Linked DNA regions of Coturnix japonica. The protein of the gene in region 2 purifies or fractionates together with the protein of the main gene of each other region. This does not show direct contact. Links are inferred from orthologs where the notes say so. Each region holds a gene or a part of one and is shown on either strand. Other genes may lie near its edges. The genes, in order: MRTO4 and CEBPA.

Region 1 (4,454 bases), on a different chromosome or scaffold from region 2:
AGAGAGGGAAGTGCCAGCAGAGGAGCAGAGCAGGAGGTACTGACCCACACTGCCCTATGGCTGTGATTTGTCCTATTAATGAAGCTTTGTAGGGTCAGCCATTCCTGTGCCTACACTACTGCTACCAGCACTACAGGTGGGGCCATGCCTTACACTGTCTCCCCTTGGGGACCTTGATCTATGCTGTGATTTCAAAATGCACTTAATCAAAGGAAGGCTTTAGATCTGCACTCAGTTAATAACTAATCTTGAGCGTGGATGAGAATAAACCATTTTTTTTCTAATGCAGACGCTGTGTCTTTATAGCAGAGCTTTAATGTGCTCAGAAATAAACCTGAGCTAAAATGCCCGCAGAGCTAAAACTGAACCTCATGACGTAGAACCCCTGGGCAGGGCAGTGCTGGCTCCACATGTGGAGGCCAATCTGGGCCTGAAATGGATCCCCCATTCCTCACTCAAGTGTCAACAGGCAGCACCAACAATATCTGAGGGTTTTATAGATATTTTTATATAAAAATGGTGGAGTTAGATCACCTTTAAGAATAATGAGTTAATCGTGTCCTCCTGTAGGCAGGGAAGGAAAACATCCTCATCTTTCAGCTCTAAAATAGAGCTTAGTGTCCAAGCACAAGGATTGCTGCTAGTCCTCATTGATGTCAGCGTCCTCCTCTTCTTCCTCCTCTTCCTTTTCTTCCTCCTCTTCCTCCTCATCCTCCCCATCTCCCGCCAGCTTCTCAAAGTCGCCCGTCTCCGAACTCCACAGGAATTTGATGGTCACTTTGAACTCTGCCATCTCGTAGCCAAAGAGTTTCTAGGAAAGGACACAGACTCATCATCCCACCTGGTTATCGTAACAGTGCAGCTCTTAGATGAGCTGCTGTGAGAACCACATGGAACAGTGCACGTCCCAGTGCCTGTGTTCCATTGTGTTCCATTGCTCACCAGGACCCGCGCTTGCTCGGGGGTCAGAATATCCCCTTCTTTGCAGACTTCATAATCTGAAAGCAGCGTCACCACTCCTGCAGGAACAAAAGCAGGGGAAGAAAACCCCATAATCTGGCTTGTTAGTGGATCAGCACTGCAGGAGGGCACAAGGCTGCCTCCCGTCCTATGGCAGCAGCCAGGTGGTGCAACAGGAAGAAAATAAGGCTTTGAGCACCAGCTTTGCTCCAAAACTCAACCCTAAATGCCTACAGAATGTTCTTTTTAACAGACTGCATAGGCACAATGGAAGAGAAAGGGAAGCAGCTCCCTCACACCGTGTACCTTTCTTCAGAGCTGTTGGCAATCCCAGCTGCCGCAGCTGAGGCTCCATGGAGTGGGGAAATTGCTCCAAGGGCCCCATGTCCAGACTGACTGTGTAGGTCGCCTTGTTCCCTGCTCGTGCAAAATCCACCTTCCTGAAGTTGGAGAACCACCTGAGGGAGATGAGCACACACAGGAATGGAGGCACTGTGCAGGTTGCTGGGGGTTGGGGGTATTTTATGACAGAGCAGGTGAGGAACAGCCTGTTGTGCATTTTGGACTTACAATGAGCTGCGATGAGCTCGGTCACACACACATACTTACTCATCCACCTCCTCTTTGGTGCGATTGGTGAAGAGGAGACCAACTTCACCCCTCAGGTGCTCGCTGACCTGTGATAAAGGAGCCCAGAGGTGCTGAGACTCAGAGTTAAGGCTGGAAATGCCCTCATCACCTCCATGGATGAACCCCCCCCTACGGACAGCTGTGCCGGTTGTTTCTAACCGAGTTCCCTCCCACCTTGTGTAAGTTCTCCCTGTATTCGCTGCTTGGCTCCCGGCCCAGCGCCACCATCATCACTTTGTTCTTCCCGAAGAAGATCCTACAATTCAACCAAGAGGAAGATGATGATGATGATGATGGTGATGATGATGGGGTTGACCCCTCTCCATCACTCCCCATCCCGTTGCTCACCTGCTGTGTTTCCATGCGTTCCTCACGTCCTTCAGCTTGTTGTTCCTCATGTTGGCCACGGAGAAGATGAAGATGTGTTTGTAGGTGTCCACGCATCGCCGCAGCTGCACGACAGCGGTTAGCGGGGCCTAATGGGGTGGAGCGGGGCAGCGCGCACTGGGCACGACTCACCTCCGTGATCAGCGCTTGTTTGGCCTCCAGTCCCTTCTTAGGCGTCCGCGTCAGGGACACTGCGGGGAGGGGACGTGGTTCACAGAATGACCCGGGTTGGAAGGGACCTCAAGGATCGTGTAGTTCCAACCCCCCTGCCTGGCAGGGCCACCAAACATACACCTTTACTAGATCAGGTTGCCCAGGAGACCCCATAGACCCCATAGAGACCCCATAGATCAGGTTGCCCATGGCCCCGTCCAACCTGGCCTTGAACACCTCCAAGGACGGGGCATCCACAACCTGCCTGGGCAGCCTGTTCAGGCCTAAACCATCTCTAGTGAAAGAGCTTCCCCCTAACATCCACCTAAAATCTTCCCTCTTTTTAAGCTTAAAACCATTTCCCCGTGTCCTGCTATTGTCAGCCCTTTCCAAGAGCTTAATCCCCTCATGGATGTAGATTCCCTTCATGTACTGAAAGGCTGCAATGAGGTCACCCCGCAACCTTCTCTTCTCCAGGCTGAACAAACCCAACTCGCTCAGCCTGTCCTCATAGGGGAGGTGCTCCATCCCCCTGAATGGTTAATGGGGAAGGGGAGGACGGAACGCCGCGACATGAGCCGCTCACTCACCCTTACGGTCCCGCTTGGATTTCGGCATGGCTCCCCGTGCTTCGAGGCCCCCCGGCACCGCGGGTGCTGCTGGGGATGTGCGGGCTGCCCCGCTCGGTGCCTCCCCGTTCAGGCGCAGCGCAGGGCAGCCCCGTGATGCGGGGAGGTCCCGGCGCTGTCATGGCGGCCGGGCTGTGGGTGCTGCTGCTGCCGCTGGCGGCCGCCGTGTACGAGGATCAAGTGGGGAAGTTCGACTGGTGAGTGCCGGGCTGTCAATGCGGGGCTAAACCCACGGCTCGTGTCCGTGTAACGCTGCCCGTCCCCGCAGGAGGCAGCAGTACGTGGGGAAGCTGAAGTTCGCCTCGCTGGAGGCCTCGCAGGGCTCCAAGAAGCTGCTGGTGGGAACCGAGAAGAACGTGGTGGCTGCGCTCAACTCCCGCAGCGGAGACATCCGTGAGTGGGGCGGGGTGTGGGTCACAGCCCACAGTGCTGTATATCCACTATGAGGGTGACACCAAGCCTATGTGTGCCAGTTATCAGTGCTCCTTCAGGGGGATGTTGGCCCTGAAATCCAAGCTGCAGCTCCCGCAGTGAGGACATGGCTCTTTGCAGTGAGGACATGGCTCTTTGCAGTGAGGCTCTTTGGGAGGTCCCAGGGCCGTGGGTTTGAGAGCAGTCAGCAACATCCTCATTGTGCCCATCTCCTTCTCGCTCTGTGTCTCAGTGTGGCGCCATGCAGACAAGGCCGGCCCTGAAGGAGCCATCGACGCGATGCTGATCCATGGTCAAGGTGAGCACATCACACACAGCAGCTGCTCTGCTCCCCGTGTTGGATGCCCTGGCTCTGGGCTCAGCTCCCTTTGCTCCCTGTGTAGATGCCATCACCGTATCCAGCGCCGGGCGCATCCTGCGCTCCTGGGAGACCAACATCGGAGGGCTGAACTGGGAGACGTCGCTGGACACGGGCAGGTAGCGCTGGGCACCAGGGATAAGTCAGTATTTAGTTAGTAAGCTTAACGTACCTTGTCTGCAGTACAGCAGTTTGGACATCAGGCTTTGAAAATCTGGATGGTTGTATCCAACAGCTCCCCCTGTTTGAGAGCCCACAGATCATTCTCTAATCAACCATCTCTGACCTGTGCTCAGTTTCCAGGCCGCGAGTCTGGTGGGGCTGCAGGACGCGGTGAAGTACGTGGCAGTGCTGAAGAAGGCGGCCATCTCCCTGCACTACCTGTCCAACGGGCACCAGAAGTGGGTGGAACAGCTGCCTGAAAGGTGAGGATGTATTTGGAGCTGAAGAAAGAAAGTTCAGACTCACAGCCCAACTCAGGATGCTTCATGTCCTTGAAAAGCTTTGGAAGCAATAAGACGAGCAAACGATGCCTCGTGCCCTTTGTTTCTCGCACAGTGAGGATACTCGATACCAGATGTTGTATTCCCGTGGGGCTGGAGTGATCCATGTGCTCGGAGTTGTCCCCCAGAGCCATCTGAAGGTGTTAACGCTCAGTGTGGAGGATGGAGAAGTCATAGAACAGGTAGTTGTGCTCGATTGTGGATCCAATGTGGCAAATTTGATATGAACAAACACAGTGCATGGAGTTGTGTATGTAAGTTCATTCCTTAAACATCATCATGCTGTTGACGTCTTCATCTCTTGATGTCTCTCTTGGCAGACCAAAGTAGCAGCCCCGTGGCTGAAGAGCTTAAATGGAGCCTGCAACGTGGTGGGGGAGGCAGTGCTGGTGTGTGCAGACG
Region 2 (4,431 bases):
CGGGCGCGCCGAGGCGGGGCGGGGTCGTCCTTTCGGGCCGGCGGTCGAGCTGCCCGGTGCCTCGTGGTAGCCGTTACCCCGGGGGGGAAGGAGAGGGGGGAGGGTCGTGCCGCGTCGAGCCCCGGAGCGGCGTCCGTGTGCCCGGCCGGGGCGAAACTCCCCGGGGGAGGGGCGGGGTCCGGCACCGCGAGCGGCCGCGCGGCGTCTCCGCGTGTCCCGACGCCGTCGCGTCCCACCCGGTCGCTCCCTCCGCCCCGGCCCCGCAGCGCCCGGCGGGATCGCACCTGCACGCGGCACAGACACAGACACAGACACAGACACAGACACAGACACAGACACAGACACAGACACAGACACACCGCCGCCTCCCGAAGGCGTCGCACGAACGGGGCAAACGGGAGCGATCGGCGGCCCGGGCCGCGGTGCCGAAAGGGGCTCAGAGCCGGCCGGCCCCGGGACGAGCACTGGAACACGCAGCGGGCGGTGATGGCAGAGTATATGCTGTTTATTATGAATGTAACCAGGACTATCCGACAAAACTGTATATGCGGTCCCCTCCCGAATTATAAAAAACAAAAACAGAACACCGATGTGTGCATATACGTCCACGTTCCCACCGCACACGCACGCCGCACACGCGCCCCGCACGCACCCGCGCTGCCCTCCCGCTGCCCCCGGCCGGACGGGGCCGCGGCCGCCCGCAGCAGCGCAGCTCGCACTCACCCACCCACCCACACAAATAATAAAATAACGTTGCAGCACGAGGGCATAGTCTCTGTCACCAGATAAGAAAGTGGTGTGATGGCAAAGATCTAAGTAACGCGATAAAAATAGTGTAGCTAGTATACACGGAAAGGCTTTCACATTACATGAGGCACAGCTTGGGCAGACACAGACGCGGAGAGGAGCTGAATGTCCTGGGAGAAAGCAAAATACGCTGAGAGTTCGTAGTAAATACCCGCATCGATAGGTATTTATTCACTTGTGCTTCGCCATGTCGTGACATACAGTACGAATCGCCGCCGCTCTCCCCGTCGGCGCAGGGAGCTCCGCCGGGCCGCCCTCGGCCCTACTGTCCGGCTGCCGGGACGGGCTGTCCGCGAACCCGGCTGGCCGTGGGTCCCGATGTCCGTCGCTCGGCTCGTCCCGTCCCGCTGACGGTCCCGGTTCCGCTGCCGTTCCGCATCCGCCGCCGTCCCCGTTCCGGCCCCGCAGCCCGCACGTCCCCGCGCTCCTTCCTCGGCGGGCTGAGGGCACGGACCTCCTGCAGGCAGCTTTAAGGCACATCTGGGCTGCTCTATGTGCTTTATTACTGTTACTATTATTATTGTCATTTACCCTGTGTAGACACGTGGGCTTTTTTGTTTAATCTCTTCCTTCCCCTCTCCTTTCTCCTTACAAAACCCACCACGTTTTTCAGCTTATTCGTGTGTCAACCCTAAGGCACCGACCTGGTAATACTACAGCTGCCTGGCTTCTTTTATTGGTCATTATTGTCGGGGAGAAAAAAAAAAGAAACAAAAAAAAAAAAAAAAAAGGGAAAACAAACTAGCCCACCCCCCACAATCTGAGCCCGCTCCGGCACCGCTCGGACCGCCCGGAGCAGCGGGAGGGCCCGGCTAAGCGCAGCTGCCCATGGCCTTCACCAGCGAGCTCTCGGGCAGCTGCCTGAAGATGCCCCGCAGAGTCTCCAGCTCCCGGCTGAGCTGCTCCACCCGCTTCCGCAGCCGCTCGTTGTCGGTGGTGAGCTCCAGCACCTTCTGCTGCGTCTCCAGGTTGCGCTGCTTGGCCTTGTCCCGGCTCTTGCGCACCGCGATGTTGTTGCGCTCCCGGCGCACTCGGTACTCGTTGCTGTTCTTGTCCACTGTCTTTTTGGATTTGCCGCGGTGGTCGGCGGGCATCATCTTGAGGGCGCCGGGGGCGGCGGGCAACGCGCCCGGGGGGTGCGGATGGTGCGGGTGGTGCGGGCTGGGCACGGGCGTGGGGGGCGGCGTGGGGTGCCCGGGCTGCAGGTGCACGGTGGTCTGAGCGCAGTGGGCGATCTGGTACTGCAGGTGGGACGGGTGCTGCTGCGGGTGCGGGTAGAGGGCCGCCAGGGCCGCCGCCTTCACCTCCTCCTCCTCGCGGGGCTCCTGCTTGATGACCAGCGGCCGCAGACCCGGCGCGGCGATGCGCTCGTACAGCGGGTCGAGCTTGCCGTCCATGTAGCCGGCCGCGCAGCCGAACAGCGGCTGCTGCTGGTGCTGCGGGTGGTGCCCCGGAGCCGAGGCGGCCGCGCCGGCCCCGTGCATGCTGTGGAAATCGAAATCCCCGGCCAGGACGGCCTTGTGCTTCTCCTGCTGCTTGCTGTGCTGGAAGAGGTCGGCCAGGAACTCGTCGTTGAAGGCGGCGGGGTCGATGTAGGCGCTGATGTCGATGGAGTGCTCGTTCTCGCAGATGTCGCCGAGCTCCGCGCCGCCCGCAGCAGGTGCCGCCGCCGAGGGAGCCTCTCTGTAGCCGTAGGCGCTGCCGGGCAGGGGAGTCTGGAGCTGGTGGTGCTGGCCGCTGCTCATCGGGGGCCGGGAATCGACCTCGTAGAAGTTGGCTTGCTCCATGAAGCACCTACAGCCTGCCGGGCATGGTGAAGGGCTCCGGCAATCCAGGGTTCGGACGGGGCGGCGGCGGCTCTGCCAAGCCCGCAGCACCCCGCGCTCCCCCGGCTCGGCTCGAAGCGGCTCCGCTCGGCGCGCCCGGAGCCCGTCCCCCGCCCCAGCCCGCCCGAGCCCCGCTCGCCGCCTGCCTGCCTGTCCCGTTCCTAGTGGGTTGCCTCGGTCCTGCGTGCCGTATATATACACCCCCGCAGCAGGGCCGGGGATCGCCCTCTAGTGTCCTGCTGGGAACCTCTGACCACCGCGCCCCGGGTCTTAGCGCCCCGGCCCGGCCGTCCGCCCTCCCTCGGGAGCTCCGCTCTCACCGAGCCCTGCCCGGTCCCTGTGCTCCGCCCGCCCCCCCGCTCTGGGGGCTCGGAGCCCGCAGCGCCCGATCCCGTTCCACCGGGGAGCAGCCCCGCAGCTCACCATTACGCGCGAACCATTACGCCGGGCTGGATGGCGCACGGTGCCCGCCCCCGGGGCCCAAGGCGCCGTCCCAGCGGAGTTACCGGAGCTCGGCCCGGTTCGACGCGCTGGGTTCACCAGCTGAGCCCCGTGGGGACCCGCGGAGCGCGGCCCCGAGCGGCGCTGGGACCCGACCGGGAGCGCGCCCTGCGGGGCGGGGCTGCGGGGCTCGGCGCTGCGGGACGGGGCCGTGGGCAGAGCCGGGCCGGGACGCGCTGCCGCTGTCCCACGGCTCCCACCGTGCGCGGGCGGTGGGGGATGAACGCACGGGGCTGCATCTCCGTCCCGTCCCGTCCCGCGGCGCGAATCGGGCAGGTAAATTTAATCACGGATTTCCCCAAATGCAAACACCGCAATCTCGGGCTGTGTCGGGCGTGGACCGGCTCCCGGCGTTTACCCGAGATAAACCCGAGCGTGCCGCTCGGAAGGCGAAACGCCGGGGCTCAGCTCCGAGTCCGGCCCGAGCAGCTGCTGGGAGACACGCGGCCCGAGGGACCCGCGCTCCCTGCACGGGACGGATTCGGGGCACGGAGCTGCCGCCTCCCCGTCCAGCCGGACCTGCCGACCCCAACTGCCGGCCCTTAGATCCGCTGGGCCGGGCCGCTCGGAAAGCAGCACAGTGGAAGGAGGGACGCACCGAGGGCAGTGAAGCAGGGGAGAGCGAGGGAGATCGGCAGAGAAAACTCCAGTATGGCTATGGCTACAGAAAGAATTGCCACATTTCTTAGTCCTGGAGGGCTGAATGAACCAGAAGCTTGTGATATCAGACTGCTTGCTCAGAGTTCCTTGCAATTCACAGTGACTGGCAAAGCCTTAGGAACAAAACCACCACGAACCAAGAGCCACCTTTGGGGTCACACACGTGAGCCACAGACGTGAGGTGCAGCCAGCACAGCCTGCTGTGAGTGTCTCGTGGGAAACATCCATATAGAATACAGAACACACAGAATCTATGATTTATGAACATACTTTTCACCTTTCAATGTCAACAGAAAAGATAAATCCTAACTGCTTTTTATATATGGTATCTTCTGAAATTATGATATACTTTGGTTTCAGCACATAACAGTGGGTACAAAGGGTATGCACTGCCTGATCAAGCAAAGTGCCCATATGGAAGAGCTCCAAAGTTCTGATAGAGAATAAAATCCCCTGACCTGTGACAGAAATCTGGGATGCTTCAATGTGAGCAGAAATCACAGCATCACAGAACTGCAGGGGTCAGGAAGGTCCTGAAGAGATCACAGAGCCCAACCCATACAACCAACTACACAGGTTCCATACAGGTCACATAGGTAGGCGTCCATATGGGTCTTGAATATCTCCAAAGAAGCCC

What was found.
Region 1: the proteins of CEBPA (region 2) and MRTO4 purify together in Homo sapiens (affinity purification with mass spectrometry; 3 studies listed by BioGRID and IntAct, with this or other methods). This does not show direct contact. The link is inferred for Coturnix japonica from reciprocal best matches to the Homo sapiens genes CEBPA and MRTO4.

What each region holds. Positions count from the first base shown.
Region 1 is NC_029536.1:4,063,566-4,068,019, reverse strand, and holds MRTO4 (mRNA turnover protein 4 homolog), read right to left. Parts: upstream 2,846-4,454; 5' UTR 2,749-2,845; coding exon 2,721-2,748; intron 2,169-2,720; coding exon 2,110-2,168; intron 2,043-2,109; coding exon 1,939-2,042; intron 1,847-1,938; coding exon 1,765-1,846; intron 1,638-1,764; coding exon 1,570-1,637; intron 1,419-1,569; coding exon 1,267-1,418; intron 1,020-1,266; coding exon 943-1,019; intron 812-942; coding exon 641-811; 3' UTR 487-640; downstream 1-486. Other genes in the region: EMC1 (ER membrane protein complex subunit 1), read left to right, coding at 2,856-2,956, 3,028-3,152, 3,424-3,489, 3,575-3,668, 3,846-3,974, 4,108-4,234, 4,373-4,454. UniProt on the Homo sapiens protein: Component of the ribosome assembly machinery. Nuclear paralog of the ribosomal protein P0, it binds pre-60S subunits at an early stage of assembly in the nucleolus, and is replaced by P0 in cytoplasmic pre-60S subunits and mature 80S ribosomes.
Region 2 is NC_029526.1:8,911,469-8,915,899, forward strand, and holds CEBPA (CCAAT/enhancer-binding protein alpha), read right to left. Parts: upstream 3,013-4,431; 5' UTR 2,595-3,012; coding exon 1,620-2,594; 3' UTR 485-1,619; downstream 1-484. UniProt on the Homo sapiens protein: Transcription factor that coordinates proliferation arrest and the differentiation of myeloid progenitors, adipocytes, hepatocytes, and cells of the lung and the placenta.